Linked DNA regions of Drosophila melanogaster. The protein of the gene in region 1 interacts with the protein of each later gene in a pairwise test. Each region holds a gene or a part of one and is shown in the gene's direction. Other genes may lie near its edges.

Region 1 (4,895 bases):
TTTTCGTGTGCGTGTGGCTGTGCGTGTACGTGTGATTGTGCGTTTCGGACATGGATTCAAAAACCTTTCTTAGCGATTTCCCGAAAGGCAGCAACTAGCAACTCTGGCGACACTGCTGCTGTCTTTTTCGTTGCCGTTGTTGTTATTATGGTCAGTGGCCGCCTTCGTTGGCCAGATACAATAGGGAAATAGGGAGCTATGTATGTGCGATTGTGTGTGTGCTCTGCGCAAATGTTTTGCATAGCAACTACTAAGTCTACGACCTCAAAATGCCTATGTGTACACACGCATTATATAAGATCGTAATCTCGGGGCTATCCCACGATGGTGCAAATACTTGTCAGGTTTTTCTTCTCTCGCAGAACTAATCAAAATACACTTTGACTTGAAACTTGCTTGGGAATGATATCAACAATCTATTTAACATGGTTTTTTATTCCTACCTAGAGCTTATCAGCTCGGTAATTAATATTACAAGGAACCTAAACATCTTAATGCGTAACCATGTTAAACATTGGTGTATACCAAGCATTGAATATGTTGTGCACTAAGTATATGAATATGTATGAATATGTCGGCACTTTAATGGAAAACATAAGTTATTGTCCTGCCTACCTATATACACTACAATTATATTATTCTTGGTAGCTAAATATGGGAAATACATATTTTGAAGCTGGCTATCACCTGAAATTTGCAGCTGATTAGTTTCTTGTCCCACAATTTGAATTCGATTATTTCGCCATCTGACATTTCTAAACCGCAGCAATTTGCCTGCAAAAGTCGATGGAGAAACAACCACTATGTCATGCCCATATCTTTGCGATCGAGTGTCCGTTCGAGAATTCCGGTTCCTTCGGCGATCGCCGGTCACGCTCCAGCGAAAAGAGCGACGAAAAGAGCCAAGAAAGCCACTCTGTTGGACGGATTCGCCTTGTTTTCAAGAATGTGGGTTTCCCAAGGGGGGTTTCCCCGTGGGGTCACCACCTCCTGCCGTCATAACTTCGTTCGGTTCGGGCGGCAAAAAGCCGAAGACGAGGACGAAAGCTGCTCTCTCACTGGCTCTCTCCCTCTCTCTCTCTCTCTCTCTTAAGGAAGAGGATGTTCGGTTCTCATTTGCCTCAGCTCTTTGCGAAACGGTCGCGAAAGAGAGGCGAGCCCACGTAATCTGCGATGAAGGCATGTATCAAAACAAAGCGAGGAAAACTGGCCGCAATCACAACAGCAACAACTGCAGCACATGACAGCGGGAAAACTAGCAGAATTATCAGTGACGATAAAAGGCGCACCCCCTACTGCGAAAATTAGACAGGGATTTCGGCTAGGTTTTTCACGTTCTTCTCGCAGATCCGTTGCTCGTTTGATAGTTGTTGCCCAGCGTTTAAGGAAGCAGAAAATGGCTTAGCTAAACGCAAGCAAATGCCTCCTGAGGTTGCACACAGTCTTACACTGGAAAAAATCTAGATTTTACCTAAAACTAATACAGAATACAAGGAAATATAAGCTTGGCAGAAAAGTAATATATACTTTTCATCACAAGCGATCGTATCATCTATTCGTTTATTTGTATGAAATTTCATTTTCATAGTTATAATCATGGAATATATGTACATAACTAAGAGATACAAAATTGCTAAATTATTATACTAAATTTCGAATTCTTACCAAATTTAATAACATTATCTTTACTAAGGTATCAAGATTTTTCTCTCTGTGCTCACACACACACGTGGGCGCAAGAAAGGAGGCCGAAAAGGATGTGCGTCTCTCAATCTCAAAAAGCCTAGCACGAGTATTGCGTCGTCTTCGTTGCACACAGCTGTGTGTCCGCACGTGTGTGTGTGTGTGTGTGGGAGGATGTGCTGTGTTAGTATGTGTGCTCGATATGTGTGTGTGTGAGTGGACACTGGCCTGTGGTTGGGCCGGCCAAAATGCGAAAATGCCAAAATGCGAATATTGCGAACGGGGCAGCCAAAGCGAGAGGACTTCTTCGCCGCCGTCTTGACCGTTATTAATCATTGTACATTTGGCTGTCACCGAAAAAGGCCGCGAATTTCGCAACAGTGAGAGCGAAAGAGAGCGGGCGAAAGAGAGTCCGAGAGAGGGAGCGAGAGAGAGCGACTCACGCACACGTGAAAGAAACAAAAACGACAACTACAAAACTACTAATACCAAGGCAGACCAACTGACCAGCACACAACCACCACTGCAGGACGCATATATCTGCGAGTGTGCTTGTGTATGTGAGTGAGAACGAAACGCCGCATTTCGTGGACGTGCGACTTTAAATTTCCCGTGACGTCGCCGCCGTCGTCGCCGTGCGGAAATTCGCCGCGCTAAAATCAAAATTCACTCAAGTCCGCCGCGGTAGTTTGTCGCCGCACGCTAGCCGCTCAGGTTCGCACATCCACGTCACAGCGACGCAGCGTCACAATATCACAATATCCTTCGACGAGCGCGAGAGAGAGGTCGCACCGCACCGCACCGCATGTCCTGCCGCTAAAATTCGCACGCCACAGCAGCGGTAAACATCACGCCGCATCGCGAGCACAGTGTTCGATTGTGATTGACCGAGTGATGTTATACTTTCAAATGAACAACAACATTAACTGAAAACAATAAATTCAAATCCATGTGAACTATAAGTAAAGTGATTTAAAAACATCGCCGGTCGAGATAAGAATAATTTAACTGCTGCAAATAGTTGCGCTATCACCGAATTTCTCCCGCCTTCGCTGGAAGAAGGCACCGATCCATTTTCGCCCCCGGAAGATAACTAAAAGGTTAGTATTTGATTTCACCGGTGAATTGAGCAATCCGTAAAGTGTAATTGTTAGTTCTGCATTAATTAATAACAGTTAACTGAGTGTTTTAAACACAACTTGAAGAATTGGTGACACAAGAAAAAATATTAAATAATCAAAAAATATTTATTTAAATCGGAAACCAAACATAAAAAGTTTTTCGAGAGATTAGTTTTGAAGATTTATTGTTTACCTTTCTACATAACAAAAACGAATTATTTTTACACAATTTGGAAAACAATATAAGTGCAGTTCTTTGTGTATTTGAATAGTTGCCACATTTTATAAATTAATAAGTACAAATCTTAGTAGGTCCTTCAAATAACAACTTAACAACTTTTTTATACAAAAGAGCAGGAAATATTTTACGAGAAAGTATTTATTCATATTTATTTATAATAATATTCAGGAGTGATAGATATTGTGTATAACATTAATATCTTATGTAATTTTATTATTTACCTCCTAACACTGCGTTAGCAATTACTTAAATTTGCTTTCCATCAAAAATTAATATTTTTAATTTTTTATTTAATTTTTTTACCTCCGAGTTTAGATTCAAATATTACTTTGTCCATATGATACTTGGTTTGTAAAATAAGCTTGAAAAAATGTAAATTTTATATAACTAAAGAGTTTTAGTTAGATTTCCTTTATCTACCAAGTTTATATTGAATTGCAATATTAACAAACACAGGAAACCGGTTTTATTGGCCCCTTAATGTATGCAATACTTTTTGATTGTATTTATGGTAAAAAGTTATTTTCCTATCCGTTTAGTTGTTGAACGCTTCTGTGTCACTATTCTCATCTTGTTTTATAAATTAGAAAGTATTTAATAAAGTTGCTTATTATTATCTTTCTTATTTTTTATTTTATTTATAATTATATTTTTCTCGTACATCATTAGCATTTCAGTGTTGTAAAACAACATCATTCATAACATCACTGATATTTCAACACTAGGAAAATTATCAAAGGATTTACATATTTTTATTTATTTATTATATAACTGTAATTCTGAAAATCGATTCATTGTTTAAAATAGTATTGCCCATACATGAGACCATAGTTAGATAATTTGATAAAGTTCATATTGAATCCCCCGACAATTAATAAATTCGTTCCACTGCGAAATGCCGACACAACATTAATCGGGCTAATCATAAACGAAAACACACAATAAAAAAGGTGCAATAGTGCTTAAAGCCACATAGATCATTGGTGCCAACAGGTCCAACATTACAGCAGACACATGGTTTATTTGCACACACTTAACTGCGGTGAGGGAAGCATCCCAGACATCCCAGACACACACACACTAACACACGATTGGGTTTGGACCAAAGCAACTTTTTCTTTTATCTACGGAATTCTTATTTTTATGTGTTGCCTCGTTTTTGTGTTTTATTTCTTTCTGCATTAGCACAAACGAATGGAGCTATCAAACGCTTGCACATATTAGTACTAGTTTCAGTCGTTGACCTCCATTTGCCAGACTCTCCTGCCCCCCTTCGCTTGCCCCTCCCCCCGCCTCGCTCATCCCGACCCATCCCATTTGACCCTCCTTGGTGTCCTTGCCACATTGCCACATGCATTGCCCCTCTGTGTCTGTGAGTGAGTTCAATACGAAGCCAAAGAAACGAAAAAAATAGTAAATACAATAAAATTATAATTGTATATAGGAAAATCAGAAGCTCTTAGCCCACACACACACACACATACACACTCACGTGTACGATGAAATGGCCAGACGGTTGGCCATTACAGACATACTGACGGGTATGGCCATTCCGGCATACATATGTCCTGTCCTGACTAGGTGTGTGTAAGTGTTCGGGTGTGTGAGTGTGCATGTGTGCACAGCAGCAACATCAGACACAGACGGGCCCCTTCCACACACACTCACTCACACACACACTGACAAACTTGGTGTAATTCTTTTATATTTATTTCTTTCATCTTTTTCTGTTGTTACTAGATTTTTTACACACTTCTCACTGTCCCAGTTCGGTTCGTGAAAAGTTTAATGGCGAGCCGGCTAGGACAAGGACGGACCCACTGCAGAAAGCGAAAGTAAAAATTCTTTTC
Region 2 (5,044 bases), on another chromosome or scaffold:
AGTACCTTTTTGTTGTCCATTTATGGGGGGAAAACAAATTTGTTTGAATGAATACTTTTTAATTCTGCATGTCATTTTTGGTAAATTTAATGTACTTATTCGAATTTAAAGCCAGCGATTCATGTATATGTCATAATTAAATGAAATTCATATGACATAAGGAAATGGTAAAAGAAAAAATAGCCTAAAATGTCACAGTTTAGAAAAAAAGTAGCGTTACATATTAATTTTCATATCTAATATAATCTTATAACTATTTTTTAATGAAACAAACCGATGTAAAAATAAAATATTTACATTACAATAATTATTGTGTTTTAAATTCTTCTTTAAAGCCCGAAAATATTTTCTAAAAGCTGTTGGAAATCCACATTTGCAATCAATTTAATATTAAATGGTTGCTGTCACCTAAAAGACAGTGGGTGAGGAAATCCACAAAAGAAAAGCCCCAAACGAAACGAACAAGAAAAATTCATACGTCATGTGCAAACACAATACATAAAGACGTATTCCATTCCCATATAGAAAGAAATATGTACATGGAACTCTCAAATGGAGAGAACGGAATGCGATTGGTTCGGCGACGGAATGGCAATCGTTATGGAGAAGAATCGCAGAAGGCGAAACGAAGACAAATAATAGAAAAATGACCGAGCTCTCAGATACATTGTACATAAACATATAGAGGTGGCAAAGGTGCGATGCCAGAATTTATAAGCAATGCTATTTATAAGAACCCGAAAAACGAACGCCCCTCAGGCGAAAAAAAACCCCATTATCGCAATATGTGTAAGTGGAAGAAAGATGCCCTGCCATAGTGCTGCTCTCCTCCGAATCAGCAACACAAAAAGAAATACAAATAAACGGGACTCGAATGGAAACGAATGGGAAACGGAAAACGGTTGACAAAAAAAATCAAAGCTTGGGACGGAAAGAGATAGCAACACTGCCCCGAAAAGTATAATTCGTTGAAAGTTTGTCATTTACTTTTAATTGAAATTAAAATGCTTTTTGTCAAAGACAGCTGCGCAAACTCGAAGTAAAGCTATTTTTTTTTACTTTTCTTCTCTGGCAATGCATTTATTATAATTTACTTTGCAACACAAAATGCCAAAACAATTGTCATTTGTTTATATAAGGCGTCGCCCATGGGGGCGAGCGAGAGCGCAAACATGTACGACTGGCTATGCAAATATGCTGCTTTCTCGCTCGCTCGTGTTTATTGGTTGCAGCCCACCTGAGCGTGCGACAGAGATGGCGAGATGGTGTGAGAGAGAGGGCTCAGACTGAAACGAAATGAAATTGAAATGAAAAACGTTTTTTTTTCCAAAGAGAGAGAGCGGGAGGATTTGAAGAACACAACACGCACAAACGAATTGAAAAAATAAATAAAACGAATGCAAGAGAGAGAGAGCGATTACGTTTGTCATTGTATTTTCGGGGTTGCACACAGAAATATACACAGATGCAAACACACCGATCAATCGCACATACCACTCCCCTTTTTGGCCTGGTATTGGTGTAATGCGAGACGTGGACGGGCAACAGACATTCGTATTCGTACTCGTATTCGTATTCTGGTTTTGCACAATCGCAGATACAGATACACCAGCTCGCTCTCACAGGCACAGACACACACATACAAGCACACTCGTCTCGGCCGACCGCGCTGCCGGCGTCGCTGCCACGAAAATCCGAAAGGAATCGAATTGAAACTCGCCTTTCATTACGAATTTGTCATTCGCAAGAGAAGGTAATGCAATAAAACTTTTGCGCGCGCATTTCTCTCAGTACATAACGGTAGCGCTTCGTGTGTACGTACGTACGTACGTGTGTGTGGGTGGGCTAAAAAAATAGCACTCGTTAGCGCCCGCTCACTCGCTCACTCGCAGTCGTCGCCTCGCGCCGTCTCGCTCTCAGTCGATTCCCATTCGAATGCAATTCGTTTCGTTGATTTCTCCGAACGAGAGGGGGAAGAGGAACCAGTCGAAGGCGAAGAAGCAGAGGCAGCGACGCCACCGTCGCCGTCGCAGCGGAGTAGCTGCCATCTCTCAATCTCTGAGTGACAATCCGTCGGTACGGTACTCGAAAACGGACACAGCTCCGGTTTCCAAAATTCCAGTACGAAAACGGTTATTCGAACTCGATTAACACAAGCGGGCAATCGGAATAAATAACTTGAAATATTCAGAGTATATATTTCACAGCGAAATTCAAAAAGCAAAGTGCGCGAGTGTCTTGTGTCAGTGATGTTGAGTTTATAAATTACTTTTAGACCTCCTTAAAGGTAAATCTATGTTCTATATCGAATTATTCAAATAAAGCTGACAATAGGTATATTTATGCAAATTGGCAGTAAGGATCCAAATTAGCTTCATTGCCTTGTTTTTCCCAAAACTTAATTAAAGCAAAGTTTGCAAAGCAATAGTTCTGTTGATAAAGGATTATTTATGGGGGGTATTAGAAGATAATCGGACTTTAAATGTCTGAAAGGAAACTTTTCTATTTTCTGTTAGTTCTCTATATTTCTTTGTAAGTAAAATGTTTGTTAGGATATTAATTTACAAAAAATATTTAGCAATATAAACTTGTAGCTACCATATAACTAACTAAACTGGCTCAAAAATAGATTTTAATAAATAGGAGCATAGCTGAGCCTAATACAAATCCTAAATCGTTTGTAAATTTTTTGAAGGTCTGCATTTAAATTTGATGTTATAAAACTTACAGAAGTATTAAAAATGTAAAGCCAATAATAAGCGGATAGGAATATACGAGACACGCTCACTTAGAATTTGCATATAGAAGCCTAATAAATAATTAAAAATGAATTAAGAGTTCATTAATTATTTATCTTCCTCTCACCATCTATTTTCTATTTCTCCCTTACTTTGTGTCAAATTTTTGTCACGATAGAAAAAACGTCAAATTAACGAATCGATTAAAAAGTAAATAAACAAAAGTGTCGGCCATGATGAAGTATGGATTCTGTGACAAGTGAACAGAGTGAAAATAACAACAATAAAGCGGGCGCAATAAATAACAATATTAATAGTGGTATTGAAAGAGCCGCGGGCAATATGAACACCACCGCCATGTTGATGCATCACCAGCAGCAGCAGCAGGCAGCCGCAGCAGCGGCAGCCGCAGCAGCCCAGCAGCAACAGCAGCAGCACAATGGACGCGACGGTAGCAACAGTTCGCGTGGAGCCAACGAGGATCGTCCAAATGGACGGAGCTCGCACACAGGACGAGGATCCAGTTGCTCACCGGCCAGTTCACCAAGTCGCCATCCCAGTGCCGTCAGTCCGGTGAGCTCCCTCAACCACTCCATGATGCAGCAGATGCAGCAACAGCAGCAACAACAGCAGCAGCAACAGCAGCAGCAGCAACACCATCAGCTCAGCCCCCCGCCACATGGAATGCCATCGGGCAACGGACTGCCGACGGGCCTACCGCCCAGAATGCCCCATGGACTGCCGCCCCATTCGCTGGGGCTCCTCAACTCCCTGCAGATGATGCACCATGCCTCCCCCTTGGAACTGATGGCCGCCGCCCATCACCATGTGCCGCCAAGGTCGTACAACTCACCGCCGCCGATCTCCACCTCGGATCCCAGTGCCAATGAGTGCAAGCTGGTGGAGTACCGGGGTCAGAAGGTCGCCGCATTCATAATTAGCAACGAAACGATGCTCTGCCTGCCGCAGGCCTTCGAGCTCTTCCTGAAGCACTTGGTCGGCGGTCTGCATACGGTTTATACCAAACTAAAGCGCCTTGACATCGTACCGCTCGTCTGCAATGTGGAACAGGTGCGCATATTACGCGGCTTGGGCGCCATCCAGCCGGGCGTCAATCGCTGCAAGTTGCTCTGCTGCAAGGACTTCGACATCCTCTACAGGGACTGCACCACGGCCAGGTACGAAACCGAAGCAAAAGCATTGGGGGCAGTTCCACACGCAATTGGGGGTTTTTCGTTATTTCAAGACTTCATTTGATTATTTCACTGATCTGTGCTGTGCAGGCGAATATTTTGCAAAGGGAGTTTTTGCTTAGATTTACAGTAAATAGAATAATCTTGTAAGGATTTTATATAAGAATTGGATTGGGATTTAATTGCTTTTGAATACGATTAAATGTTAGTTACAATTTTAAAATAAATTTCTTAACGCTATCCAATGATTTCGCAAAGTGCATGTGCCCAGTTAGTTGCATTTCCAGTTCGGGGTTTGCTCTGCAAAATTTTCTCATTTCCTGTTTCCGCTTTAGCCAACTTACGCACTCAACTTCCACCCCCTGCCGCGGCCGCCCCCAACTTCTTGCATATTCTTGCAACGGTTGCAATGCAAATAGTTTGTGCATCGATATCGATTAACACGGGCAATCAAAAAACTTTCGTTTCGCATTTCGCCGTTTGCCTTTTCCGATGACATTTAGCGGAAATACGCAATGCAAACGTAACGCTCCCCGGTGACCCCTTGCTAACTAACCGAAAGCTGCGTAATTCTTTTGAACGCCTCTAACAATAGTTGGTAAAACAGTTTTCCACCTTGCACAACTTTTCCTCCTGTTTTATCCGATGTTTTTCTGCAATCGACGTGTGCGGTGCGCTGTCAGCTCATTTCCGTTCGAGTGGAAAAAACGACAAGCAAAAACGAAGTTCAGTAGAAATGGGTATCGTGTTTTTTTTTTTTAAATCTTTTGAGGGGGATCTAGGAGCTAGTGGGTCTAAAGTTTTTAATGGTTTAAAATAAAACCATTGTCCTTGGTTACAGAAAGTTTGGCGAGCTAGCCAATTTTCGCCGATTTGTTCAAATGAAGGCGACTGAAATATTTGTGTCTCTAAAATAAATACTTCCTTATAGTTGCAACTTAAGCCAAAAGACTTAAAGAGTTACGTCAAATGATGCAGACTTATACAGAAATATGCAGATATTTATAAATTGTGATTAGATCGAATGGCTTAGATTAGATACAAAAAGGCTTAAAAGATCAACACAATTAAAGGCTAATATTCCGATTGATCCCCAGGAGATCCAAATATTTC

Evidence for each region.
Region 2: the proteins of dan (region 1) and dac interact in a two-hybrid assay, tested with the Drosophila melanogaster proteins (one study listed by BioGRID).

Annotation. Positions count from the first base shown.
Region 1 is NT_033777.3:25,182,647-25,187,541, forward strand, and holds the start of dan (distal antenna), read left to right. Parts: upstream 1-1,736; 5' UTR 1,737-2,783; intron 2,784-4,895. UniProt on the Drosophila melanogaster protein: Probable transcription factor with a role in the retinal determination (RD) network. Regulates ato expression and is required for normal R8 induction and differentiation.
Region 2 is NT_033779.5:16,482,680-16,487,723, reverse strand, and holds the start of dac (dachshund), read left to right. Parts: upstream 1-1,725; 5' UTR 1,726-2,287; intron 2,288-2,916; 5' UTR 2,917-2,981; coding exon 2,982-3,916; intron 3,917-5,044.